Astyanax mexicanus: one gene and its partner. The protein of the gene in region 1 interacts with the protein of each later gene in a pairwise test. Links are inferred from orthologs where the notes say so. Each region holds a gene or a part of one and is shown in the gene's direction. Other genes may lie near its edges.

Region 1 (12,885 bases):
GAAGTGAGAATGTCCCTCAACTCCTCCTGGTCACAAGGGTGGACAAAGTCATACACGCTCTGTCCAAGCAGCTCCAGCTAGAACAAGATATCAGAAGAAAATCAGAAATTACCCAGGAGTTTCATTTTATCATGACAACAAATCATAATTTTTTTTATATATTACAGTACTATGGCTTTCCATTTGCCCTCCTGCTACGTAAAACCTTAAACAAATCTATAATACACATTTTCAAGCAATAAAATTCTACTCTTTGCATATTGCAAAATTACAATGTTGCCATATCACCCACTTCTGCTTAATCTCCTTTCCAAGAAAAACCTTTACACAGAATTTTTAAATCCTTAATTGAACTGGCAAGTGTTAAGTCCTGGCAAATCCTGTTAAAGCTGATGCAGCAATTATTCTGCAGAAGAAATCATGGGAAAATACTGGGAAATTACCCAGAGGTAACAGACACTCATAAAACAGTAGAACACAGACATGGAAAGACTACACAATGCTATGATTTTTACAAACAAATATGTCTTGAGTGAAAATATCATACAAATGTATTATGTACGTGATTCTAGAGAGACATGGTAAAACACTTGCATAGTGAGAGAGGGAGAGGGAGAGAGAGAGCAAGAGAGAGAATACCCAGTAGAGCAAAAGGTTTCTTACAATATTCAGAAATAGAATGCAACAGGATTTTAAAGCAAGTATAAACTTGGGTATCCAGGCAAAACAATAATCAAGGGCCTTGTGTGTGAATGGAGCAGATCCCAAAGGAAAAATTATATGAATGAGTTTCAGGATGTTTTAACATATATATTTGGTTTGCTCTGGTCCGAATCAGGTAACATTTAAAACTAAAAGTGCTGTCCCCTCATAAAAAAGCATAAGAAAAATCATTTAAATGAACCCATTATCGGATTAGTTTACCAGCAAAAACTAACAGAGTCCGATAACTGGACTAAACTAGACTAAAGGTGCAGGTGTGAAAACACCCTTAGTCAGCTTCACTCAGCAACACACATGATTAGTCTGTCAGCCTGATCTGAAATGAATGTAGGCCATGTGATTGGGTTTCAAAAACTATTATGCTCCATCACCACTCAAGTGAAAGGCCCCCCACTATATCCTATGTGTCACTCTAGCCGTCACCCTCATGTAACTCTGAAGTTCATCCAACACATCCTTCTGAACAGCAATAGGGTGCAGCCAAACTTTTTGAAAGAGTGTCCTTGGCCTCAGTGAGTTGAGAATGTGATCTCAGTAGTCCGGGAAGCGCTCCAAGTTTGCTTGCACGCACAGAAATGTGAGCCAGTTTAAGACACAGAAGGGCAGGCCTCGTGCGGCCCCTGTGTTTACTTAAAGTATTTATATAAGTGGGAAAACAAATGCATCTCATCACGTTACCTCCAAAGTCGTATACATTCCACAAAAGAGCATTTTTAACCAAAGAGCTGTGCTAACCTGAGCAAGGCCGATGTACTTGCTGACGTTCTCCGAGAGGAAGATCATGTCTCCTTCTTCAGTCAGGACCAGAACAAAACCAGACAGTGCCTGCTGGTAGAACGCATCAGTAGGATCCTGTTCTTCCTCAGTGCCTTGCTCCACTTTGGTTGTTGCTGCAAATTAAGCATGTTAATAGAACAGCAGTTTAGCTAATACAAAAAACTCACACGATACTTAGAAAAAGATAATGTAATGTTTGAGGATTAGCCTTACAGGAGCAGAGGAGTTGGCGCATACGCAGGTAGCTGAGGGTCACTCTCATGATGCCGGCTTTGTCGAGGTGGGAGGTGACCCGGCGCGCGAGGGGCAGGGAGTGGGCAAGTTCGTAAAACACCTCAGTCTCCTGACTTCGTCTGCAGCGTGCCGCATCACGCGAACGCACCTTCCGCAGGTCAGAGCTCGGCCTGGCAAGGAGAGGGACAAAATAAGCTTGACTTAAAGAAAGTTCAAGTTGAGACAGACACAAAAAAAAAAAAAACATCATCCCAACATCAATAGAAAAGGGCCTGGCTGGCCAACATGAATACTGAGTCATTTTAGAGAACTTACATATGTTAAAAGTACAACAATTTATATGCAACACCATAAAAACATTGTACATTTGTAAAGTAAATAGCTAACTGTGTATCCGAGTAAATATTTCACCAACTCCTTGTTAAACTGCAACAGATTAGGTCACATGAGAAAAAATAAAAGTAGTTATGGTGCTCCTTGAACTGCAAAGATTCTATGGCATAATTTAAGCGTCATCTTTCCAGAAACCAAACCTTTCCACACACACACACTAGCCTTGGAAATTAAATCAAATTCAGATGTTAACCTATAGAGCATCTGTGAAATACAGTTGGATTTTATATACACTTAAATATAAAGTTATTTAAAAAAACAAAAATCAGTCATAAAAAGCCATGAAAAAGGCCAATACAAATGAATCCCCTTTAGCACAAATATCGGATTAAATTATGAAATCCAAATTGGTGAAATGTGCTCTAGAGTGTTACTAGGAACTCGCAAAAGCAATAAAAAAAATGTTTTGTCTTTTTTACACAAATCCATCCATGAGCAAAATCTTGTTCTTCACAACAAATGTACCACAAAAACAAAATACCACACAATGAAGAACGAAGCCACAACCATTTGTTTTCCTGGGTTCCTGGATTTCTCTGAACATTTTTCTCACAAGAATCCTGATGTTACATTGCTGTAGATGTGAAAAAGATTGGTCAACACAAGAAGGCCAAATCAGCTCATCTTACTGAGGAAAACAGCCTCCATCTCCTCTGTCCCTTCCCCCACATGCCTCAGGCAGATTGGCGGGGGCTCATGCTGTTCTGACCTCAGAGCCTATTCTCAAGTCCTTTCTTCCCCGGAAGATTCAACTATGACCCCTACAAGCCTTCCTGAAATTCCAGCTCAACCCTAAACAAGCTCCAGGGCTCAAACAGCCATGTTTATAGAGGAGTCATGTTCTCTTATTCTGATTACAAAATACAGAGGGTCTGGTCTCTATTCTAAATGTTAGCCACGTGTACAGCACGTTCCCAGTTGAGGGCAGTTTGCATCTTGTTTTTATAGGCGTGTAAAAGTACATCCAAGCCTGAAACAAGTTTCACTGGGGATTATTATGAAGAGAAAAAGCTGTTACACAATTCAAGAAATGTTTGTTCCCTTGTCATACAAGGCAATAATTAAAAGAACATTTCAGACATACTTCTACAATGACATTTCAGGTATGTCATAAATTGAGAAATAGCAAAGATTTTTATAGACATCCAAGTAATTGGCATCGTCATCTTGGTGGTTCTCTTTGGGTAGTTCTCTGCAGTTTTTGCTAAGTAACGTTAAAAAAACCATTAGCACCAGCTTGCCATCAAGCAAACAACCGAAACAACCTCTCAAACCAATAAGCATCTAATTCCTTTTCCAAATAAACATCTCAACATTCCAGCAGCAAGAAGTGCTGAGGCCCTTGAATGCAAAAAAAAACACAACAGGGGGCCCAAAAACACCCACCAGACGTCAGTAAAAGCTTTATAAATTTACACAAAATTACCACATTTTTAGGAGCCCATATAAAATGCATTTTCCGTTTTTAACAGGTCACACCATTTTCATCAAATTAGTGAGACTCTTTTTGGTTCATTAAGTACCTACACCAAAATGTTTTGTTTGTGGATGAGAAGACATTGTTGATTTGAAGGTGTTAATAGCTTCTGATTTTTTTGGTCTATTCTCATGGACCAGGTAGGACAATTTAAACTATGAGAGCCTCAACAACTCCCAGAGCAGATCCAAAAATGGCTGAACCACACATCAACAATAACAAAAGAAGTAGCATCATAGAGCTCATCAGCACTTTTATCTTTCTGTGCTTTACTATATCAGTTACAAAAATCACAATACTGTACGATTTCTAGCTGCGGACATGTGGGAATTAAGAAGAACAAAATGTAACATAACACAAAATTCATCAACTAATAACACCAACAATCCAAATTCCATTGTGGGACGTAAAAAAGGAACCTTTTGAAAGTGGTATTTTTCAATAATAGACAACTTAGGGACTCTCAAATCAGCTTACCAACTGCTGCATTTCCTGCCTAGGATGTAGCTTGCTATCTTGTACTGCGATCTTATGAAGACATAACTTCATAAACAAATTCAGAAGAACGTGAACAGGATAGGATATCCTGTGCAATGGCTGAATTATTGTCACTCATAGGGAAATATTACAAACCAATTTGACAAATCAATCCTAGATTAACCTTAAACCTTAAATCAGAATAAGAAGCCAAGAAATTCACAAACCACAGTAAAGAAGTGATGTATTAATTACAAAAGCTAACATTTCAATGATTAACTAATAGTCCATTGTGCTGCCCTTGTGCTATTCTCAGTCTAAAATGTTAACCATGTTCTAAAATAGCTCCAGGGAACTCTTCAGAGGGACAGAGGTGGCTATAAATTACACAGGACGAACTTTATTGACCCAGTCCTCCGTAAAGCACAGCTAAGCCAAGTGGCCTCAGGGAAGGAGGAGATCATTGAAACAGAATATACCTGCAGAACTACTTATAAACAGGCTTCATTTAAATGTGTGAGGCCTTCAGCTCACAAACAATGGTAGTGCCCTAATTGCTTAGAAACATACAACAACAATACCAAATAATATGAGCCATTTCATTCGAGCTGGGATTAGATTTTCCGAAACCTACTGATGTAATTTCTGAACTTTATCAGAAATAATAAACACTTTAGATTAAGCCTATTCGTTGACTATATTTTCTTTTCAATGGCAAATCTCCATTCAAAATGATGTGCAGTCCAAGACTAGACTTGCCCTCTGTCTGGGAAAATTCTTACTAAACTAGCAAAATCCTAGAAGCCAAAAACAGCTAAATAACTAAAGGGTTCAAGCATGTACAAAAAATAATAATAAATAAATAAATACATACTATCTATATACAGCCCATATATAGAAAACTACATTGGAAATCCCAAACAAATAATTGAGAAAGATATTCTAAAGATTAGAACTTTTCACGATTAGTATTATCAACATTAAGTACAACAAAACTCAAAGACAATGATAAACTAGATGACACTTAATGTGAGATTGGCCAAATGGGTCATCTCCAAAGCTTGTTCAGTACTAAGTGGTTTAAAAGGATGTCTTCAGTTCAGGAACACAGTGTCCAAGCCCTTCATCTGGCAGCAATCACTGCTGAGGGCCCTGTGTCTAAGTGGGAGAATCAAACTCCTCAAAGATTCAACACTCAATCTTCCTGTCAGGAGCGTTTGTTCTCTGTTTTCACGCTTATATGTGTTGAACACTTCTTGGACTGGATCCCATGTCGTGCAAAGCGGATGAGCACAATTGTGTGGGGGGGGGGTGATCAAATGTGTTAGAGGTTCAACAGTCTGCAGCCAGTAGACTGCGCACAACAAAGCTGCAGCGGTTTGTATGAAGGGAACACCATGTACTCTGGAACAGCGTCATCACTGGAGTACAACGGGCCCATATCGGCCAGTAAACACACCTCCAACCCCCACCCACGAGAGCATAATAATGCAAGACATCATAGTTGCCCTACTAAACAAAATATGTTTATACTGAAACATCAAAATATTTGTGTTGATCAGTTCTAATAGTTCTAACTATTTAAATGTCCTTATTACTCCAGAAAGATACTACACTTTTGTGCACAGAGAAGAAAGGGAAAACATTTAGACAACTTCATATCTCAACTATCTATAGCTCAATATAGTTTAGTTAGCTGAACTTTTAGGTAATCAACTGCTTAAATATATTGAATATGCCTGAATCAACTCCATAAATATTATTTTTCTACCTTGATTCTTCATGATTTAGTCATGTAGCTAGCTAAGAAAAATCAGGAATAGCTAGCACGTTCTGCAGAATTTTAATGTTAAGACTCAATTCATCAATACGTTACCGTATGTTCCAAATTATATTTTATAACATACCTATCTTAATACTTTAGCACTTATGTAGGTTAGGTTAGTTAAAAAAATTATAGGTTACCTAGTTAACTAACTAGTGAGTTCAGATGTTAAAAGTATTTATTTACTATTTATTATTTGGGGAGATGTGTAAGGCGTCCAAACACGAAGTCGTGTGCACATGGAAGAAAGCAGGCAGCCCATATAGCTAGTACCAATGGAGCAAAATAACATTTAACTAGACACGGTTCATTAATTGATCACCACGTGTTTACCTAACTTAATATTTGGAAAATATGATAAAAATGACGTCCCTAATTTTATTCTCTAATATTATATTTACCCATCTTGATACTTTAACACTTATGTTGCTATGTAGGTAAGTTGGGTGTTATTTATAGGTATATTTTATTTAAATGCCTGCTGTATTTTAAAGCAATTTTATCAGTCATTTATCTTACTTAGATAGCTAGGTGAGGTAGTTAACTAGGGCAGTCAGCTGTATAGGTTTCTTTTCGCAGTCTCCTTGCTGCTGCTTTGTTTTCAGCTATACACTCTTAGCTCAACACCCCATTCCACACTCTCGCTTTTTTTCTAGGTTAGTGTCCCCAATTTGCTTAAATAACCCAATTCACAGCTAGCTAAATATCATAATCACTTTAGTAGCTAGCTATACACCTTCTTGTTCACTTTTAACACGAGACATGTTTAGCTAGGCTAGATTTAACATAGAAGAACACAGTCTACAAAACACCGGCAGCAGGAGCAGCACACTGCAGGGCTGTGCAGAGACTGCTAGTTAGCGCTATGTGAGCTAAGCTAGGCTAGGCTGGCCTGTTAGCTTTAATGAGCTTCCCGAGTTAAGCTAAGCCTAACTGTATTACAAAAGAGGCACTTTCTCTCGCCATATCCACAAAATAACACAGCCATGCTGTAAATAAGAGTTGAATTAAAGGTTTACACTCTCACCTTTTAGGCGAGGACTCCATCCTGACCCCGTTTGGGAACCGAATTTCAATATTCCGTGTTCAGCGGCTAATACCGAGGACGGTTTCTAGCCGTTAGCTCCAGCTGGATCTGAGCGTCGCCTTCAAGTTGTTTATCTCGATAGACGGAGGAGGAGGAGGAGGACGCGCTTAAGGAGAATGGAAGCGCTCGGGCCGCCTATCAAAATAAAAGTCACTCACGAACTTTCTTTTATGTGAATGGACGTTGGCACAGTATTTCATCACTACGTACATATATTTTTTTTTTAAAAGAAGAAAACACAAACAAAGTTCAGATAACAATCATTACAAAAATACAAACAAACATAAAAAAAGAAAAATGATTCATATAAAATTGAATATTTAAGATATTTAAGAATTTATGATATTGTTTATGTTGAATTTGTATATATGTATATGTATCGGAGGAAGCATGTGCTAGTCTTCCCACACCTGATGTTGGGGCATCATTAGTGATAGGGGTAGTACTAATAAGTTGGTCATTAAAAATATACAATATATATATTGGAAGCATTTCATACGTAGGACTAAAATAGGCCCACGTGATATAGATAATAATAAAATCTTTCCTGGAATTATCTTAAACCCCATATGCATTTTATGTAAATGTTTTGTTTTGGGAATATAAACACATTTATAAACAAAAATAATAATTATTATTATAAATATGTTTGCTAACTGAGAACAGAAGAATGTACATGTGCATGGACAGCAGTCTAGTAGATGGCAAGATAGTATGTTTTTTTTTTACTTTCAGTTTACTTTAATTAATAGAAGACCATTTTTCTAATTCTTCAAAAGTTTGAAATAGACAAACATCCACCTTTATAGTCGTAATTCTGTTTTATGAGTTTATGATAGGTTAATAATTAAATTGTGTTTTTTGTATTAGGCAACAATAAGTCTGTGATTAAAGAACACAGTTCCTTGAAAAAATATAACTATAGCGTCTCCTGAATTCGAAGAAATCTCAGATCACATTTATCCATATTTACAATGTTATTATAAAATATCCAGCTGCAAAAAAAAAAACAACCATACAAAAAAAGACTCATTGTTAAAAAAAACTACATTTCCCCTTTTGTTGTGTCTGTGCACTACTACAACATCCGGGTGAGCGAAGCCTTTCCGCGCCTTTTCGCTTTATGGACTCTTCGAGCTCGCTTAATCTTTAATGATAAATAAACAATAAAATGTGTTTTAGTATCAACTGTAGTTACAGAACGGTTGTTAATGGTATAGTCTTATTTTCCAGATAATTAATAGCACACGATAGCTGCGTAATTAGTAGATAAACATGCTGCTACCTTCAGATGTGGCGAGACTCGTACTCGGTAAGTTCAGACAGACCTTTAGCAATAGTTAAACCTCGCTAGGTTACACGCCTCGTCTAGGTTACTATAGCTGCATTAGAAAGGGTAGCTAAGCTAGCTAGCTAACTGGCTGTGTTTATCAGCAACCAGCCTTTAAACCAGCGAATTAGTGGGGTTAGAAACTGTTGGAACTTGCAATATGTTGTCCAATGCATGACCTTACCAGATCACAATCATGGCATTCGCAAGTTGCAAGCTAATAAAACCATAGAGCTGGACAGTATATCAACATTGTATCGTATCGGGATAAATCTTCTTATCATATCGACAATAAGCATATCGAGGGCATCATCAGTAACACAATCAGAACACCGACCCAACTGTACATCTCATCTATTAATCAAAGATATTGTTTACAATCCTGTTTAATTGGATGATGTCCAGCAGAAATTAAATAAGATCACTGTACTGTGGATGAAAGAGCATTTTAATAGCATAATAGCAGAATCTGACACTGCTGAAACATTTTGTCTGTGTCTGATAAATTGATAAATTCTGTGTATTGCGGAAATTAGGGGTGGGCGATATGGCCCTAAAATAATATTACGATAATCTTGGCAATATGATAAAACACTAAAGTAAAAAGAATATTTTCAGAAAACACTACAGCAACAAAATGAAAATTAAAATGTATTATTGCATATGAAATGATATGGCACACTCCTACTTGAGACATTAAAAAATAAGCATTGAATCAGATTTGTAACAGAAGTCATGATACTAATAATAATAATGCACTCTAAGTATCTCCATATATCCAGGTTTAAAGTAAAATGAATAATACTGGACAGATATAATCTGTCTCTAGTAGATATATAATGGGAAATGAAAACAGTGGGATTTTTTTCTTTTGCTAAAAACAGAAAAAAATGTAGTACCCTGATGTCACAATTAGGGGTGGGTGATATGGTACTATATTTCAAGGTATAATATCGTTCATGATATTCAAAAATGTTGACGATATTATTGCGTACAGTACGATATGGCACACTCCTAATGGAAATGTCTTTATATGTTGTGATGTAGTATTTTTCCCATGTTACCCTCCTCTATTAATGCGCGGTTATTTACATATCAATAAAATTCGAATGAAATTAAGAATGACCTATATTATGATGTATATTTTTAGAACCGTACACTTTGCATTGCTGTGTTTTAAATGTGGCTAAGGTTAGAGATTGTCTCTTGTTTCTTGCAGGATACCTTCAGCAGGAAGGACTGAGTTCCACAAGTCGAGCATTTATACTGGAAAGTCCTAATTTGAGGGAATATGCTGAACACAGCTCTGATGATGGAGCTATCCCTGCCTGCGTGTTTGTACGTACAATACGTTCAATTTGTTTGTTTTTTTTAATTCATAACCAGAAACATTGCATAAATTGGTCAGTATGGCTCTGCTGGCTGGAAATGTAGCTGTAAACTAATGTTACTGTTGTCAAGACATCCCGTATGACTTTGTCTTTTCATTGCTTTGATTTTATTCTTATCTGGCCATCTTATTTTTGCAGTCTCTTTTTGGAAAAAACCTGACCACGATTTTAAATGAATATGTTGCTGCTAGAGCGAAAGGTAGGTACTCTACAGGCTATACAATATTATGTAATGTTATAAATTTGTAGGCGTTGAATTAGGTTTGTGTTTCTCACAGAAACATGTCAGGAGAATCAGATACCAGCCATGATGACATCTTTATGGAAAAAGCTGGATTTTACACTAAACCAGATAAAGTGAGTCAAAGACAGGCTGTTTCTTTTTATGTTTTGTTTTGTTCAGACTAATCTCTATAATGTCTGATATCAACTGCTCCTTGATAATTCTCTGTTAATCTCTGTTATGTGTATGTTTGCAGATCGATGCAAAACTCTCCTGCTGTTCAACAAATACAGAGACGTAAGTTGTATGACTGTATTTGGCTCTTAAAAACTGTACAGATAAAATGAGCTGCTTGTTGTTTTCTCTGAAATGTTTTAAGTCAATATTAAGAAATGTTGTTTTGTTAACAGTCCGAACCCAGAACAGCATTCAGAACAGGCGATGTCAGAGAAATCTGTCCACATCTCAGACTTCTAGCACAGAGGGTCTGTCAGTATCGACTCCTAGAAACTGTGTTGCCAGTCCAATCGCAGCTCCTCAGGGCATGCTTGGACACTCCACCCCAGTTTGCTACACTTCCCAGCAGACCAGACCCTCAACCCTAAGCCTCTCTCAACCAGGTAAGGCAGAACAAATTTTTGATTTTATTATCCAGTGACTTTACTTTTAAATTATATCTTTGATGGATCAAACCTGTGCTGTCCTTTGTTCATGGCATCCATAAATTACATCCAACCGCAAAGGATGTAATTTATTTATTAAATGCTTCAGATTGTTCTGCTCCTCTTATTCTGTATGGTTGTTCCGGTTCTTCACAGGAGACTCAACTTTACAAATAATACTGCCTGATCAAAGATTTACCCCAGGACCTCTCTCTCCAGCACGCAGGAAATGGTATGAGAAACCTCTTCATTAGGGATGCACTGATGTGGGAATTCTAGGCTGATGCCGATATTACATATGTATATAACTGCCGATGCTGATATACACATTTATAACTTACAAAGATGCTGGACACCCCACTGTAACCTTTGGACTTTTGGACCTTTGACCAAACATAAAAATATATAAAAGGTAGCTTAAATAAATGGATTTTAAAGTAGCACAGCCAGTATCAGCCAATTGTAGCAGTGCGGCCGGTGTTCTGTCGAATTGTCCTACCTTGTCGAACCGTGCTGCCCTAATGTATATTTAACTGTAAAAATTCAAAAGAAGCATTATTTTAGGGCATGTACCCCGTGAAATTCCAGTAGATGTACGTTATTAGATTTATTAGATTGCATACATTGTTGTATCCTGGCAAAGTTATGGCAAATATAGCTCATTACAATCTGCTTTTATATTTATATTTATGATAATAATTGTAATGTTTAGTTTCCATGTACACTTTTGTGCAATGACAGTGTGTCCAGGTTGTTTAATGCACATACACCCCCCTAAAACAGATTAATTATAAATAAAAAACACAATAAATAATTCAATTGTCTAGGTCAGTGCATGCGCAGTACCTTTGGGAAGCATGTATCGATAGGTAGGACAAATCGGTAGAACAATGGCATCACTTGGTCTTTTTTCGGCTTACAAATATTGGCCATATCATTCAATATAATTATGATATTCTTACATTTTACACAACATACGTTGACCAAAGTGCTGCACAAATGCAAACATTAAAATACAGTACTATTAAAACAGTTAATAAAAAAAAACAATTACATGAAAGCCATGGTGTAGTAATGAGGTTTAAAACTGGATTTAAAACACAATAAAGTGGGTGCCAATCGAATCTGCAGCGGCAGCTCATTCCACAGTTTTGGGGCACCCGCAGCAGATGCTCGGCCCCCCCCTCAGTTTCAGCCTTGTCTTGGGGATCAAGTGCCAGAATATAAAGCACAAGCAACTATGCTAAATAACTGGGCGCTAATTCATGCAGAGACTTATAAACTAAAAGCACAAGTATAAACTGTATTATAAAAACAATTGGGAGCCAATGGAGTAAAGCCAGTATTGGAGTAATGTGTTCTCTCTGGGAAGTACATGTTAAAAGCTTTGCTACAGCATTTTCACCAACTGTAACTTAGCAACCAACGAGTGACCAGAAACAAAGTACAGTGAGTTACAAAAATTAGAGTCTCTAATCATACTTAATATTATATGAGTACAGATACTGGAGTCTGCATAACTTGGCCCATAATAATACTCAGCTACTATTAATACTGTGGTTAACAACACACGAAAAAGTCTTGACAAAAAACTGTTTTGTTTGTGCTATTTCAGTGACTCACCTAGGCGAAGGGGTGGAGGCCAGAGTGGAACTAGTAGAAGCTCTGCAGTTCCCAGCACCCTCAGTGTGGAAACACAGAGCCAGGAGGCAGTGACCGAGAACTTATCTGTGAGCTTTCATAATTTTTTTTGGATTTATGCTATTGCCAGAGTTTGTCATTTTAGAAAACACTTCAAGGATAGGCTTTGTGGATTAGTAACTTGAAATAATTGTGTATTAACATTGAAGAATAAGAATTCATCAGAAAATCTTATAAAATCATCATTTTAATTTTTAGATGTAAACAAGTTTACGTGTAATCATTGTGTGATTGTATTGTGTAATTGTGTGGCTGAATTAGTTTTTTCTTCTAACAGCAAATGGTGATTGAAAATGCACGAGAAAAAATTCTCAATGACAGATCCTTGCAAGAAAAACTAGCTGAGAATATCAACAAAATCTTGGCAAGGTAAAATAAAAAAAAAGGAAAAATATTTATTAATATGAATGCATTTTTTAAAAAGCATATTGTAATCATTATTTTGCTGCAAATCTAAACTCTAAAACCAGTTTTCATGTTAGCAGTGATAACAGCCCCCAGATATCGAAGGCAGCTTGCAGCGCAGTGGAGCAGGAGCAGTCGATAGATGAAATACTGGGTCTGCAGGTAAACCAGTGTCCCTAT
Region 2 (13,256 bases), on another chromosome or scaffold:
TGATGAACAGGGTAAAAGGTGGATAATAATGTATACAGAAAAACAGGTGGTCTACAGTCCATCTGCAGACCATCTACAGATGGTAATTATACAGTTACAGAGTGCTCCTATATGGAAACAAGGTGGACATTATGTTAAGCTTAAGCTGTGTATAATATTAATACAGTTTGAAAAAAAGTCAAGATTTTTGGCCAAAACCTACCAAAATGAAACATTTGGCCAAAGGCTGAATACTGAACACCAAAGAAAAAGCAATAACAAAACTAGTTTAAAAGTGTTTATTGAACACTTTATTGAACATTTTAGACATCCCGTGTTAAGCATGTTTTTAAAAACATACATACATGCATATCGAGTGTGTGCTAGGTGACTGTAGAATCAAATGTGGATTGAAATAACTGTGAAATCTCAAACATTCTACAATATTCAGAAATCCAGGGCAGAAAAAGAGAAAATATGGTCACACTAAGTTTTAGTAGATGATTAGTGTTTGCACAGATTAATCTTATTTTATCTTATGTTTTATTATTTTAGGCCAGAGTCCCAAGGAGTGATCAGTGGCACGGTCTTCCTCATCATCCTCTTCCTCTTTATCCCAGTGCCTTTCCTCGGTTGCTTTGTGGGGGAGCAGTGTCGCAGTTTCCCACACAATGAGGTAAGAGCTTGAACAAAATGTCTGACTACAGTTTTAAAGCAGAGCTGCCCACAGTTGGCCTGTGTTGCCCACCTTTCACCCAGTGAGCGAACAAACAGAACTTACAGACTTGTGGAAAACTGGATACAGATAAGTATGGGAAGGTATTTAAAAAGAGCTCAGAATAATCAGCCATTTTATATTCTAGAAACTACAGAAATTGTACTTTATGTATTTTACAACACATTTGAGAAGGAGTTGAAGTGACAAAAATAAGAATCCTACTTGGTACCTGGATTTATGTGACCTAATGCAATCAAATCTTTAAAGCAGTATTTAGTGTAAAGTCTTTCTAGTATTGTTTTGGCAAAGAGGGTGGGGAAACACTTTTAGTATCCTTAGATAAAAAAAATCTACAAAATGTTTGAGTACATTTTATTGCATATAAAAGTAGTTTGTGCCTGTGCTTTAATATATTTTTAAAGAATTTCTTTTTGATGCAGTTTGTGCAGCTGATTGGAGCCTTGCTTGCCATCTGCTGCATGATCTTTCTTGGTTTTGCTGATGATGTATTGAACTTGCGATGGAGGCACAAGCTGCTGCTGCCCACCATGGCCTCCCTGCCTCTGCTCATGGTCTACTTTACCAACTTTGGCAACACCCTCATAGTGGTGCCCAAACCGTTCCGAGCCCTGCTAGGGATGCATCTGGATCTGGGTTAGTTGGACTGAGGAGTAATAAATTAAAAGCCTAATAAAAATTCAATTGTGAATTAGTTTAGGTTCTTATATAATATATTATTAATGATTCAGTTCTATTTTATTCTGTTTATTATTTCTGAACCCCAATTATGTATACCTGGGATTGGATAAGAGTCTCACAGCATACATTGTATACAAATGTCTGATATATTGGACTAATATTAAGTATATTTAAACCCTGAAAGAGCTGTTAAGATTAGAGGTTTTGTGAGTATCTAAGACTGCTTTTTGCCCTTTTTTGGTCCCCCAGGTATCCTGTATTATGTATATATGGGCATGCTAGCTGTGTTCTGCACGAATGCCATCAACATCCTTGCTGGCATCAATGGCATTGAGTCGGGACAAGCCCTCTTCATCTCTGGCTCCATCATTATCTTCAATATACTGGAACTCAATGGTGAGTTGAGGATCTATTTATGAGAACATGAAAGTTGGCAGATCATGAGCTAGAGTTTCTTTTATGCACAATCTCTCCTGCAATGGGAAAAAGCATCTTCTCTGCAGTCTGATACAATTTATTTATTATAAAACCCACAAACTCATTAATGACCAGTATGTTTTAAATAAAACACATTTAAAAAATTTTTTAACTAACATCCACTTTTCCATTGCAGGAGACTACAGAGATGACCATGTTTTCTCTTTGTACTTCATGATCCCTTTCTTTTTCACCACGCTGGCCCTCTTCTACCACAACTGGTTTGTTTGATGCACATATCTATTGAGAATACATTATTATAATAACCTCATTGAAGTGATAATGACACAGCATAACTCCCTGTTTGTTGTAGAAGAGTAAGACTAAACAGAAAACTGCCACAGTGTCTCTCATCTGAATGTGCTAACACAAAGCATGTCAACAGGACTTCTTCCATACATTAAGAGCTCTCTCGCTCTTGCCCATTTGTTAGGTACCCATCTTCAGTGTTTGTAGGAGACACATTCTGTTACTTTGCCGGGATGACGTTCGCTGTGGTGGGCATTCTCGGTCATTTCAGCAAGACCATGCTGCTCTTCTTCATCCCACAAGTCGTAAACTTCATCTACTCTCTGCCACAGCTCTTCCACATAGTCCCCTGTCCTAGACATCGCTTGCCCAGGTAGTCCTGTTTATACATTTCTAATAAATCATTTAGTTAATCCAAATTGCTACAAAACTAATCGAAAGCTCTGTTTCATTAATGTCATAGTAATATATCATAGTAAAAATTATCCAGATTAATCATGCATAAAATGACCCTTTGGGAACAGTAACACAATAATGCCATTAACATTTTATGTATCTGTTAGGGAAAAAATACAATTTAATATCTTCATAATTCTGAGTTCATAATCACCTCATATTTAATCTATTAATTACTATTGATACAAAATAGTTATTTAACCTATTAGTCTTCACTGATTGCATCCTAAACTTAAAGTTACTCTAAATAATAATGAGTAAATTGTTCATTACAAGTTGCAGCAAATTGATGCTCACATTCACCTTCCTGGATAGACATTATTTTTACACACATCAGTCAAAATTGTGCAAAAGTTGTTATTCTTATGCACATTTTTGAGACTCTGCACTTTTATGATTCACTTGTAGCTAAATATGACCTAGAATTTACAATCATCATGTTCTTACCTAGACAGGTAAGGTGGTGTTAATATGCAAATGTAATGCATCCTTCCACAGATTGCAGCCAGATACTGGAAAGCTTGGCATGAGCTACTCAAAGTTCAAACCAAAGGACCTTGGCAAATTAGGACAGCTTGTGATAAAGGTAAAGTATGATATAGTATCAACAGTTAATGAGCATAATATTAACAGTATAGAGATGCATAAGTCTTAACTAAAGCTAAATGATTATTTCAACAAAAAGCTACATTTCCATGTTTTGTCCTGCAGGTGGCAGAAGCATTATGGCTGCTGGATGTGCGCAGGGGTCAGGAGGGGGATGAGTTTATTGAGTGCAATAACATGACTCTAATTAACCTGGTGCTGAAGATACTGGGACCCACACATGAGAGAAACCTCACAGCCATCATGCTCTTAATACAGGTATGAGTGCACAACTAAGCCTTTGTATTTAATGAGCTGATTTAATCTTAAGCTATTCTCATAGTACAGGGTTGAACTGAATCTCAATATTTTATACCCAAACTTGAGACCAAAGGGACCATTGTATCACAGTCAGATTAGTCAGATCATAGTTATAGACATTTATGTGTGTTTGTTTATATCAAGCGATGACGTGAATGCAGACACTTTAAAATACACAGACTAGGTTTAGCAGTGTAGCAGTCCTGTACAGCAGGGCCCTGTTTTTTTGGCTGAGCCTTTGTGTTTACAATGAATGTTTCTGGCCTAAATAACATGAGCTGTTCAGGGCTTGGATAGTAATGATACATTTATCACTTATTTGACTTTCTCTAATTTTCTTATTTATATGTATGTCTATTGGTCTATTTTATTCTTTATTTTATTTTACTGTTTTTATTTTTAGATAATAATTGCTCTTTTGGATTAAAGCCTTGAAATTTTAATTTTTATTCCACAATACCTACCTCACCTACCTACAATTTAGTCTCATTGTATCCTTAATTCATGTCTTTCAGCTGGAAAACAGACAGTTTGTGAAGAGGTTTTAAACTAATGCTAAATTAAACTAAACGCTTAGTTTAATTTATTTGAGTTGGATGTCAAAATTAATTCAAACTTGACTCGTCTCTCCCTGTCAGATTTCTATATAGCAGTGCTCTGATAACCTATGTTATGGATGTACATCTAGCGGATACACTAAATATTGAAGTGAACTTCACTGCTTCACCTCTTTTTAGATTTCATGTTTGCTTTCACACCTTTCTACCTATTGTGTTTTCTTGATTTAGTTAAATGTTTTTTTTTTTCTCCTGTCATTCACAGATTTTGGGGAGTGTGATTGCTTTCGGAATCCGGTATCACCTGGTTCGACTGTTCTATGATGTCTAACTCTAAAGCACAGAACACTCGGACGACAGAAGGGCAGGGACTACAACCTCCCGTTAAATGTGCTTCTAACAACTGATTAGGGATGATTCTGAAAGACTGCAAGTCTGCCTCTCATGTCCCACTCATATAAGGATAATGTTTACAGTTCTGTACAGTTGAACTACTGTGTTAACACTTCTGCAAGCCTTTTAGTGTCATCGGTTCATCTGAGATTTACTGTCCTCTTGGGCTTCAGGGCAGCAATCAAAGTAAAATATGTTTAAAATAAACCAATTGACCGGTTTTAATGCAATACACGAATACCTGACTATCAGAACTCTGTAGTGCTGTGGAAGAAGGAATACTGAAGAATCATACTTGAGTAGAAACACTGCTATTTCAGAGAAAAGCTGCCCGGAAAATGTAACAGTTTAAACAAGTAAATAAAAAGGTAGGACCACTGAATACTTTACCTTTACAGTTTTTATGCCTGCAGTAAACTTTTATACTTAGTAAACAACCTGTAGGTGACGTAAATGTAAAACATTATTTCCCATTTCTAAATTCTGGTTTAATGGAATGTAGTTTGGGAATCTGGGTAGTTTTCGAGGTTTTATCTGTGCAGGGACAGAGATTTTTGAGTCGCCTGGTAGCCTAAATGCCAAGCAGCACAAAGCTATATAGAGATATTTTTCTTTTTTTTCTTCAACCAATGTAAAACTGAGCCTGTGATGGACACGTATCAGTTTGACACTGGACCAGAAATGTATCAGAAAGTATTGTCAACTCTCCTAATAGAGAGCTCAGAATAAAATGTAATGTTTTTAAACTGAACTTATCGTCTAAATTTATTTAATTTGTTTGTTTCTTATACTGCTAGCTAATTAATGTTGAGGTAAGTATTTTACACAATATAAAATATATAAAATATCTACAAATTTTCCTGAACTGCAGCTATTAATAGTAATGTTTATCATGTAATTTTAGCTTGTGCTGGTACAAATACACACATTTTCCTAATTATTTAAAATGGACAAATTATGGGTATATATCGTCGCTGTCCAATGAAAAACACTTATCTCCAAAACAGCAACTTTACAGGAGAGAGAAAAAAACTTGTAAACTTTCAATAGAAGTCAATGTAAAAAGAGTTTATTTCAGGTCATTTTGAAGAGTTTCTATTGGTCCGTTCATCAAGAAATTTTGGCAAAGTGTAAAGGACAGTTTGTCTGTTCAGATTATGTAGAAATCTAAAAATCGACAAAAATGGAGATAAGTGTTTTTCATTGGACAGCGACGATATATATATATATATATATATATATATATATATATATATATATATATATATATATATATATATAAGTTAAATATTTTTAAACTGATTTATAAATGGTTTGTAAATTAGATTATTTCTAAATTAGATAATTGCTTAGGTTGTAAATGCCTTAAAACCATTGATAAGCAGTTAAAACACATCAGTTAAAAAAGCAACAGTGGCAACTTAGTCATTTAATTTATGGTAAATACTTAAACATACTTATAAATATATTAATATGGCAGAAAGTAAAATCAGTATCTAGAAAGAGCTGTGGTTTGACTATTAACGAGTGTGGAATTACTACTTTGCTAATTTTCAGCTCACTGTCGCCATTTCTATTTATGTTATATATTAACTGCTTATTATTGGGTTTTAATATATTTGCCACCTAATTAATAAACATTAATAAACTAACTTATAAACCATTTATGTTACCTTTTATGGTATATGTAACAGGACTGAGTTTTTAGCATAGAATTAGCAAAAACATGAAAAATAGCTAAAGGGCTAAAGGTTATGCTAATAGCATGCAGACACTTGTAGAATGTACCAGATCTTTCAGCTGGGGTAATTTGTTATGGTAACAGGACTGAGTGAAACCCAGGACACAACTAAAATGTGTATTTTAAGTATTATTATGAAAATAATTTTATATAGATGAGATTTGGAGACAAATCTCGGAAGTATTTTAATAATTATATTTCATGGTAAACTTTACAGTTAGAGAGTGGGGACGTAGTGGGGAAGTAGTTTTTGTTTATTTTTTAATTACATACCTGTATATGCTGGTGAATAGTAAACAGTGAGCTGTGTACGGGAGCGGAACCCTGTAGAGGATCTGAGTGTTCAGGGGGAGGCCCGTCTCTGGCGGAATGAGCGGGATGCTCTGATTGGCTGCGGGCCGGAGAGGCGGAGCTCCGGCGATTCGTTTGTTTTTGTGGGAAACAGGAGCGTAGAGGAGATGCGGAGACCAGCGGCGCGAGGTGGGTCACATTTCTCCCGATTTAATCCGGTTTAAACACCTTATTGTACACAGTTTGTACACTGGAGCACAGCCCAAAGTGGAGGTAGAGCTCTGCCCTTAACCTGAAGACTGTAAACCCGCAGAACAGACTCAGACTGAGAGCTGTGCTGGAGGCTCATGCTAACCGGCTATCAGCTCAGGTTTAAAGACTGTTTCTCTGAGTAATTAGAGATTACTAACTCAGCAGACTGTCTCTCCGAGGCTTTACTGTGACTCTTAACGTGTATAAATGAGTATACATGAATCTAATTAATTCTAGAATAAGTTATCTGACTGTTAGCTAGTTTAATTGTTTATATTTCGCTGTGTTTTAATCTAAGCAACGCTTTAATCAGACAACTTTAACTACCTAAGCAAGAAGTTAGATAGGTTACAGTGGTGTGAAAAAGTTTGAGCAGCCCTGATAATATTTATGTTTTTTCTTTATAAAGCATTGGTTGTTCGGATCAGCAATTTAAAAGAAGTTAATTATATCATATAGCAGACGAACACAGTGATATTTAAGAAGTGAAATGAAGTTTATAGGATTTACAGAAAGTGTGCAATAATTATTTAAACAAAATCAGGCAGGTGTAGATAAATATTATAAAATGGAGTTGCGTAGTAAACAAGTAAAAAAAAACTTTTGGCTTTCACAGTCCCCTGAGCTAAACCCAACTGAGATGGGTGATTTAATGTCTGTGGCAGAAACTCAAATGACCTCTAGTGAAAAGTCCTAACTAAGCTTCTTTAATACACAGCTCTGAAAAAAGTAAGAGACCACTTAAAAACGATGAGTTTCTTTGATTTTACCACATTGAAAACCTCTGGAATATAATCAAGGGGGAGATGGATGATCACAAGCCATTAAACCAAGCTGATCTGCTTGAATTTTTGCATGAGGAGTGGCAAAAAGTTATCCAAAAGCAGTATGTAAGACTGGTGGAGGAGAACATTGCATTGTACTAAAATGCATTAATTTCCAATAGGCAAATATGCAGCTGAAACAAAGAGCCTAGTGCATCCCATATTTAGCTACTTTTACATTGTAGTGATAATGGCTTTTAGAAAAAATGTGTTTTGAGGAGTTTGGTTGTGCAGTATAGGCCCCTGTAGGGTGGTCTAATTTTCTGTACTTTTAAAGTAGTACCTTTTATATAGTTTTAAAACCAGTACTTTTACTTCAGTAAAAAGCTTTTGTTGATACTTTAGCTTCTACAGAAGTATTTTTAAATGTGAATACTTATGACACCTTTATGTATGCATGTGTGTGTGTGTGTGTTTGTGTCTATATGTCTGAAAGCAATTAACCAATAAAACCATTACTGCTTTGAAGTGATGACTTTCTTTACTGTGTTTTTTAAGCGTGTGTTGCCTTTTTGTGTTTCAGACACTTGGCCAAGATTAACATTCAGTTAGTCCCGCACTATGGCTCCTGTGAGTAAGCGTGCGCCGCGCCGTGAGGAGTTCACGCTGGAGCTTGCGTGTGAGTGGGGCACGTGTCAGGAGACGTTTGACGGGATGGAGGAGTACTGTCAGCATGTGGAACAACATTACACAGCTATAGAGAGCGAATGCCCTGATGCAACAGGTAAGATCGCTTTATTGTAGCCAGGGCGGGCTGCTGACAAACTCCAAAAGACTTGCAGCTGTAATTGCAGTAAATGGTGGCTCCACAAAGTATTGATAAAGGCTGAATACTTTTGCACATTACACTTTTCAGATTTTTATTTGATTAATTTTTATTAAATCCATGTATTATTTCCGTTCCACTTCACACTTATGTAGTATTTTGTGTTAGTCTATCACTTAAAATCTCAATAAAATACATTTAAGTTTGTGGTTGTAAGATGAACATTTTTGAAAATGTTTAAGGGGTATGAAGACTTTTGCAATCCACTGTATCTGTACCCTAAATTGGTGTGGGTTATTTACTGATGCATTTTTTGTGAATTTTGCAGAAGAGCTTCTCACCTGTCTTTGGCGGGACTGTGGTTTCTGCTCTGTGGAGCTGGTTGGAGAGTTGCTGAGGCACATGTTTTTCCACTGCTACCACACCAAGCTGAAGCAGTGGGGCTTAGCCGTTCTCAAAGGCCATCCAGAAATGGGAAACTGTTCGGTTGGCCTCCAAAACCGCAACATTATCCCTGAGACCCAGGAGAGCTTCCTCTGCCTGTGGGAACACTGTGAGGTAAAACACTCTGTGTGTACAGGGGCTTTTACACCTAGCTTGTTTGGTCTGCACTTTTGCACTTTTCAGTTCGTTTCCAACCAAAGTAGAAGATGTAAACGGGTGTGCAAGCACAGTCTGGACCAAGGGCCCAGAATTCGTCTGACCAGAAGAGCAGTGTGAAAGCACTTTTCTAGATGATCGAGAATTTTAGATCAATTTCAGGAGGTTGAGTCAGACAGACTCAAACTTTTAACAAACTTTTAACAAGGAAAAAGAATTTATGTTGTGCCGAAATTTGACAATTTGAAATTTGAGTCAACAGTATGAACACAAACGCTTAAACTGGGTATTAATTTCAGTAGATTAACTCTTACTTATAAACAGAAATAAAAGGAATCTGAGGACAATATTTTACACTCATTCTGCTGTGGGGTGAAGGGGTGTACGCAAAGAAAAATCGAATGCTGACAGAAAGCTAGAATTCACACAACACCTGGCAAAGCAAATCAATTGCCAATCAATTAGTATAAAGTGTAAAGAGACTCCGCCCAAGTAGATGATGACGACAGGATGTGGTCAAGCTCTTTAGTCTGCTCTCTAAACTGCAGTGTGAAACAAAACTAATCGGATCAAATCTACACAATGTAAAAAAGACAACGACCTTTGTGTCGTCTGGACTTTCAAGTGTGTTACTGTTAATCCTTAACTAGATTAGGAACTTTACGCACTCATTCACTTTACCAGCCTTAAGCTATATACCAGATACCATTTGCACTACTGTTATATATTATTTATACTGTCATTCCATCTCAATCACCATCAATATTGCACTATTGTCTTCCGTCTTACGTATGTTTATTGTGTCTTGTTGTATTGTACATATAGTGTCTCCCACTCTTTTATATTATATATCTATTTCTTTTTTTTATTTATATTTATATATCTATTTCTCCCCCACACTACTGCACCTTGTTCTTGTCTCATGTATGTCTATTTGTGTCCCTGCTGTATTGTACACATAGTGTCTCCCATTCTCTTTTATTATATCTATTATCTGGACCTGCTGTAAAATTGGGAAGGAGAGTAACGTAATTTCAATTCTCTGTATGTCCTGTACATATGCAGTATTGACAATAAAACTACTTGACTTGTCTTGACTTGAAATATGTTCCTGTGAATTGTAAGATTGTTTGTTTATGGAAATTGTTTGCTATTTTGAGACGTCATGGTTAAATGGTAATAAAGTTTTTTTTACAGACTAACATGGACAACCCAGAGTGGTTCTACAGGCATGTAGAGATGCATGCACATTGTTTGGAGGCCAACGAGGAGAGCATATTGTTCTGTGGCTGGAAAGGTATGTGGTTATAATTCACAACAATATAACTATTAAAAAAATAATTAATGTATGTTTTCTTTTCGTTATTGTGGTGCCATAAGAAGTCTTCCATATAACCCATGAACTGAAAGATTAAGGTCTAATCATATTTGTTGTGTTTCTTTTATCTGATTAGATTGCGAGGCCTCGTTTAAGGGCCGGTTTAAGTTACGGGAACACATGCGCAGTCACACTCAGGAGAAGCTGGTGGCGTGTCCAACCTGTGGCGGAATGTTTGCCAACAACACAAAATTCTTCGACCATATCCGACGCCAGACCTCCATTGAGGGTGAGGAAAGGTCGAATGGGTTCACTGAACTGATATAATGTGTGAGATAGCAGCAGCTGTCTTTTTATAATTAACTTTTGCCTAGTAACGTATTGCCTCATACGCATTTTTATAGCATAATCTTTTTTTTTTTATTACTTCTCTTTCTATCTCTCTCTCTCTCTCTCTCTCTCTCTTTTTCACACACACCATATAAAACTATATTGACTCCTAAGTTAAAACATTAAATCCTGTGAATATAATGTATGTAATATACACCATATGGATAGTAGCTTTTATGACATCATATTTTAAATCCATAGGCATTAATATGGAGTGTCCCCCTTTATAACTATAATAGCTTCCACTTTTTTGTTGAAGGATTTTTAACAGTTTTAGAGCGTGTCAGATGCTGATGCAGATTTGCTCATTTATGCAGAAGATCATTTGTGAGGTCAGACTCTGATGATGCTATACAAGGAAAAGAAGGCCTTGCAGTCCCCATTCTAGTTTACGGTACCCCAGTGGTGTTCAATAAGGTTAAATTAGGGGTGGGACAAAATATTGATTCTTTGATTGACACACAGCATCAAATATTGATGTTTTTATAGAAACATTGGCTTACTAAGGTTGCTGCTTCATTCCTCCACATGAGGACACTAAACCTGGGTAGGATAAACCTGCGATGAAGAATATTGGATGTCAAATTCTGTGAAACTGACACCAATATATCCATAATTCCTTTTATTTGCCTGTTTAGGAGTATTTGTCCTGTTAAGATACACAGATGCAGTGAAGTATCGTAAAGAATTGTATTGCAATATATTGAGAATCACAGTATTGTGATATTACTGCTGCCATGGTCGTGTTTTTATCGTATCATGAGATTAGGGCTGCAACAAATGATTATTTTGGAAGTCGACTAATCTGATTATTTTTTTGATTAGTCGATTAGACAACAGTTAAAAGCTCTAAAAGCAATAGAAACAGCTGAACATGAGATTTAAAAGGCATTTAAATGTTCAGGCATGGACATGGAGAGGATTGATTATTTAGTGATTAAATATGTAATCCTATGTGTTTGGGCACTTTTGGAGACGCAGACTAAGTTGATTGTAAACTGTGCGAGTGAGCCATTTACCCATCTACCATTGCACTTCTGTCCTCAGCACTTGTGTAATGCAGTACTGTTAACAGTACTATTAACAGTTAGTTGACACTGAAATTTGTAGTCGATAAATTTAAATCAACATTGCCGATTATGTAATCGACCAATCATTGCAGCCCTACATGAGATGCCAGAGTCTGTGCAGACAAGTCAAGTTCTTCCGCACCTAAACCGCACACCCATGTCTTTGTAAACTTTCATTAGGCACTAAAATAGAAAAGCCTCTTCCCCCAAACTATTTTCACAATGTTGGCCACATTCAGGTACCAAAAATGTTTAGGTTTGTTAGTCATTAAGGCTTCCCTTTATTTTAAAACAATCCTATAGCATTATTCCTCCTCCAGCTAATTTTACAGTCTGTACAATACAGTCAGGCTGTTTATTATATCTGTTTATTCACCAAACCCAGACTCGTCCATCAGGCTGCCAGACAGACGTGTTTACACTCCACAGTCCAATGGCAGGGTGCTTTACACCACTCCACCCAGGCTAGGCATTGTGCTTTGCAATGCAGCTGCTTAGCTATGGAAATGCATGCCACAAAGTTCCTGAGGCAAAGTTTTGGTGATTACTCCCATGCGCTGTGTTCCTCAGCTCACAGACACACCGCTCTGTAGCTTCACATGGTGGGACACTTCATGGCTTAGTAACTGTGGGTTCTAAACACAATTTATTTAGAGATGATGGAGGAATATCTTTGAGGAAATTTCACAAACTGATTTGTTGTAGCAATGCCTCTCTTTTAAAGTATAGGCAGACTGCATGGTGCTAGGTGCTTGGTTTTTTTTTATACACCTGTGGCTATTGGACTAAATAAAACACCAAAATTCCTTGATTATTAGGTGTGTCACAGTACTTTTGACAATATAGGGTATCCTGTTGTGAGATTGTTGGGCAAATAATGTAAGATTACTCAACTTCTGTATGGAAGTATAGTATAGTTAATGTGATGGATGTGATTTTATTTAGAGAACTCGCTAGTTCTGGATGATGACCATTTTACCTGCATTAAAATTAGTGAATGTTTATTTTAATGAATGATTAGAAAGACGATTTTCCTGTGGTACAAGCTGCTTGATTGGCAGAGTTTGCTTGGTATTTGAGTAATTATTCATGTTGCTTTCATGTTGTAGACTGGCTGGATGGATCACATGATGAGTCATATGACTAAACACATTGCCGTATGTTTTAAAGGGACAGTACGTGTACAGATACGGTGTGGAAAATATGAACCTAATTAAACATTTAAACCAAATAGTTGTGTAGATTTCACTGGTCATTCCAGTTATACAAGATTGTTAATTAGAGGTTCTGAATGTTGGTTTTAAATAATTTTAATGTCAATGTGCCTTGTTCTTGTTAAGTAAATATGATAAAAATGTGATAATGTGATAAAATAACTGCATGTAGTAATATATATTAATATACAGCTCTGAAAAATAAGAGACCACTTAAAAATTATTTTCTTTGATTTTATCAAATTGATGATCACAAGCCATCAAACCAAGCTGAACTGCTTGAAAATTTGCACCAGGAGTGGCATAAAGTTATCCAAAAGCAGTGTGTAAGACTGGTGGAGGAGAACATGCCAAGA

What was found.
Region 2: the proteins of npat (region 1) and histone H4 transcription factor interact in a two-hybrid assay, tested with the Homo sapiens proteins (2 studies listed by BioGRID). The link is inferred for Astyanax mexicanus from reciprocal best matches to the Homo sapiens genes NPAT and HINFP.

The regions. Positions count from the first base shown.
Region 1 is NC_064425.1:15,325,213-15,338,097, reverse strand, and holds the start of npat (protein NPAT), read left to right. Parts: upstream 1-8,076; 5' UTR 8,077-8,268; coding exon 8,269-8,305; intron 8,306-9,542; coding exon 9,543-9,661; intron 9,662-9,852; coding exon 9,853-9,913; intron 9,914-9,992; coding exon 9,993-10,071; intron 10,072-10,193; coding exon 10,194-10,234; intron 10,235-10,347; coding exon 10,348-10,557; intron 10,558-10,755; coding exon 10,756-10,831; intron 10,832-12,214; coding exon 12,215-12,329; intron 12,330-12,577; coding exon 12,578-12,669; intron 12,670-12,782; coding exon 12,783-12,867; intron 12,868-12,885. Other genes in the region: hif1al (hypoxia inducible factor 1 subunit alpha, like), read right to left, coding at 1-77, 1,459-1,613, 1,714-1,904, 6,934-6,953. UniProt on the Homo sapiens protein: Required for progression through the G1 and S phases of the cell cycle and for S phase entry. Activates transcription of the histone H2A, histone H2B, histone H3 and histone H4 genes in conjunction with MIZF.
Region 2 is NC_064408.1:15,312,366-15,325,621, reverse strand, and holds the start of histone H4 transcription factor, read left to right. Parts: upstream 1-6,545; 5' UTR 6,546-6,655; intron 6,656-8,065; 5' UTR 8,066-8,103; coding exon 8,104-8,266; intron 8,267-8,636; coding exon 8,637-8,866; intron 8,867-10,105; coding exon 10,106-10,205; intron 10,206-10,362; coding exon 10,363-10,515; intron 10,516-13,256. Other genes in the region: dpagt1 (UDP-N-acetylglucosamine--dolichyl-phosphate N-acetylglucosaminephosphotransferase), read left to right, coding at 535-655, 1,138-1,351, 1,646-1,792, 2,010-2,094, 2,307-2,495, 3,077-3,164, 3,290-3,442, 4,307-4,372. UniProt on the Homo sapiens protein: Transcriptional repressor that binds to the consensus sequence 5'-CGGACGTT-3' and to the RB1 promoter. Transcriptional activator that promotes histone H4 gene transcription at the G1/S phase transition in conjunction with NPAT.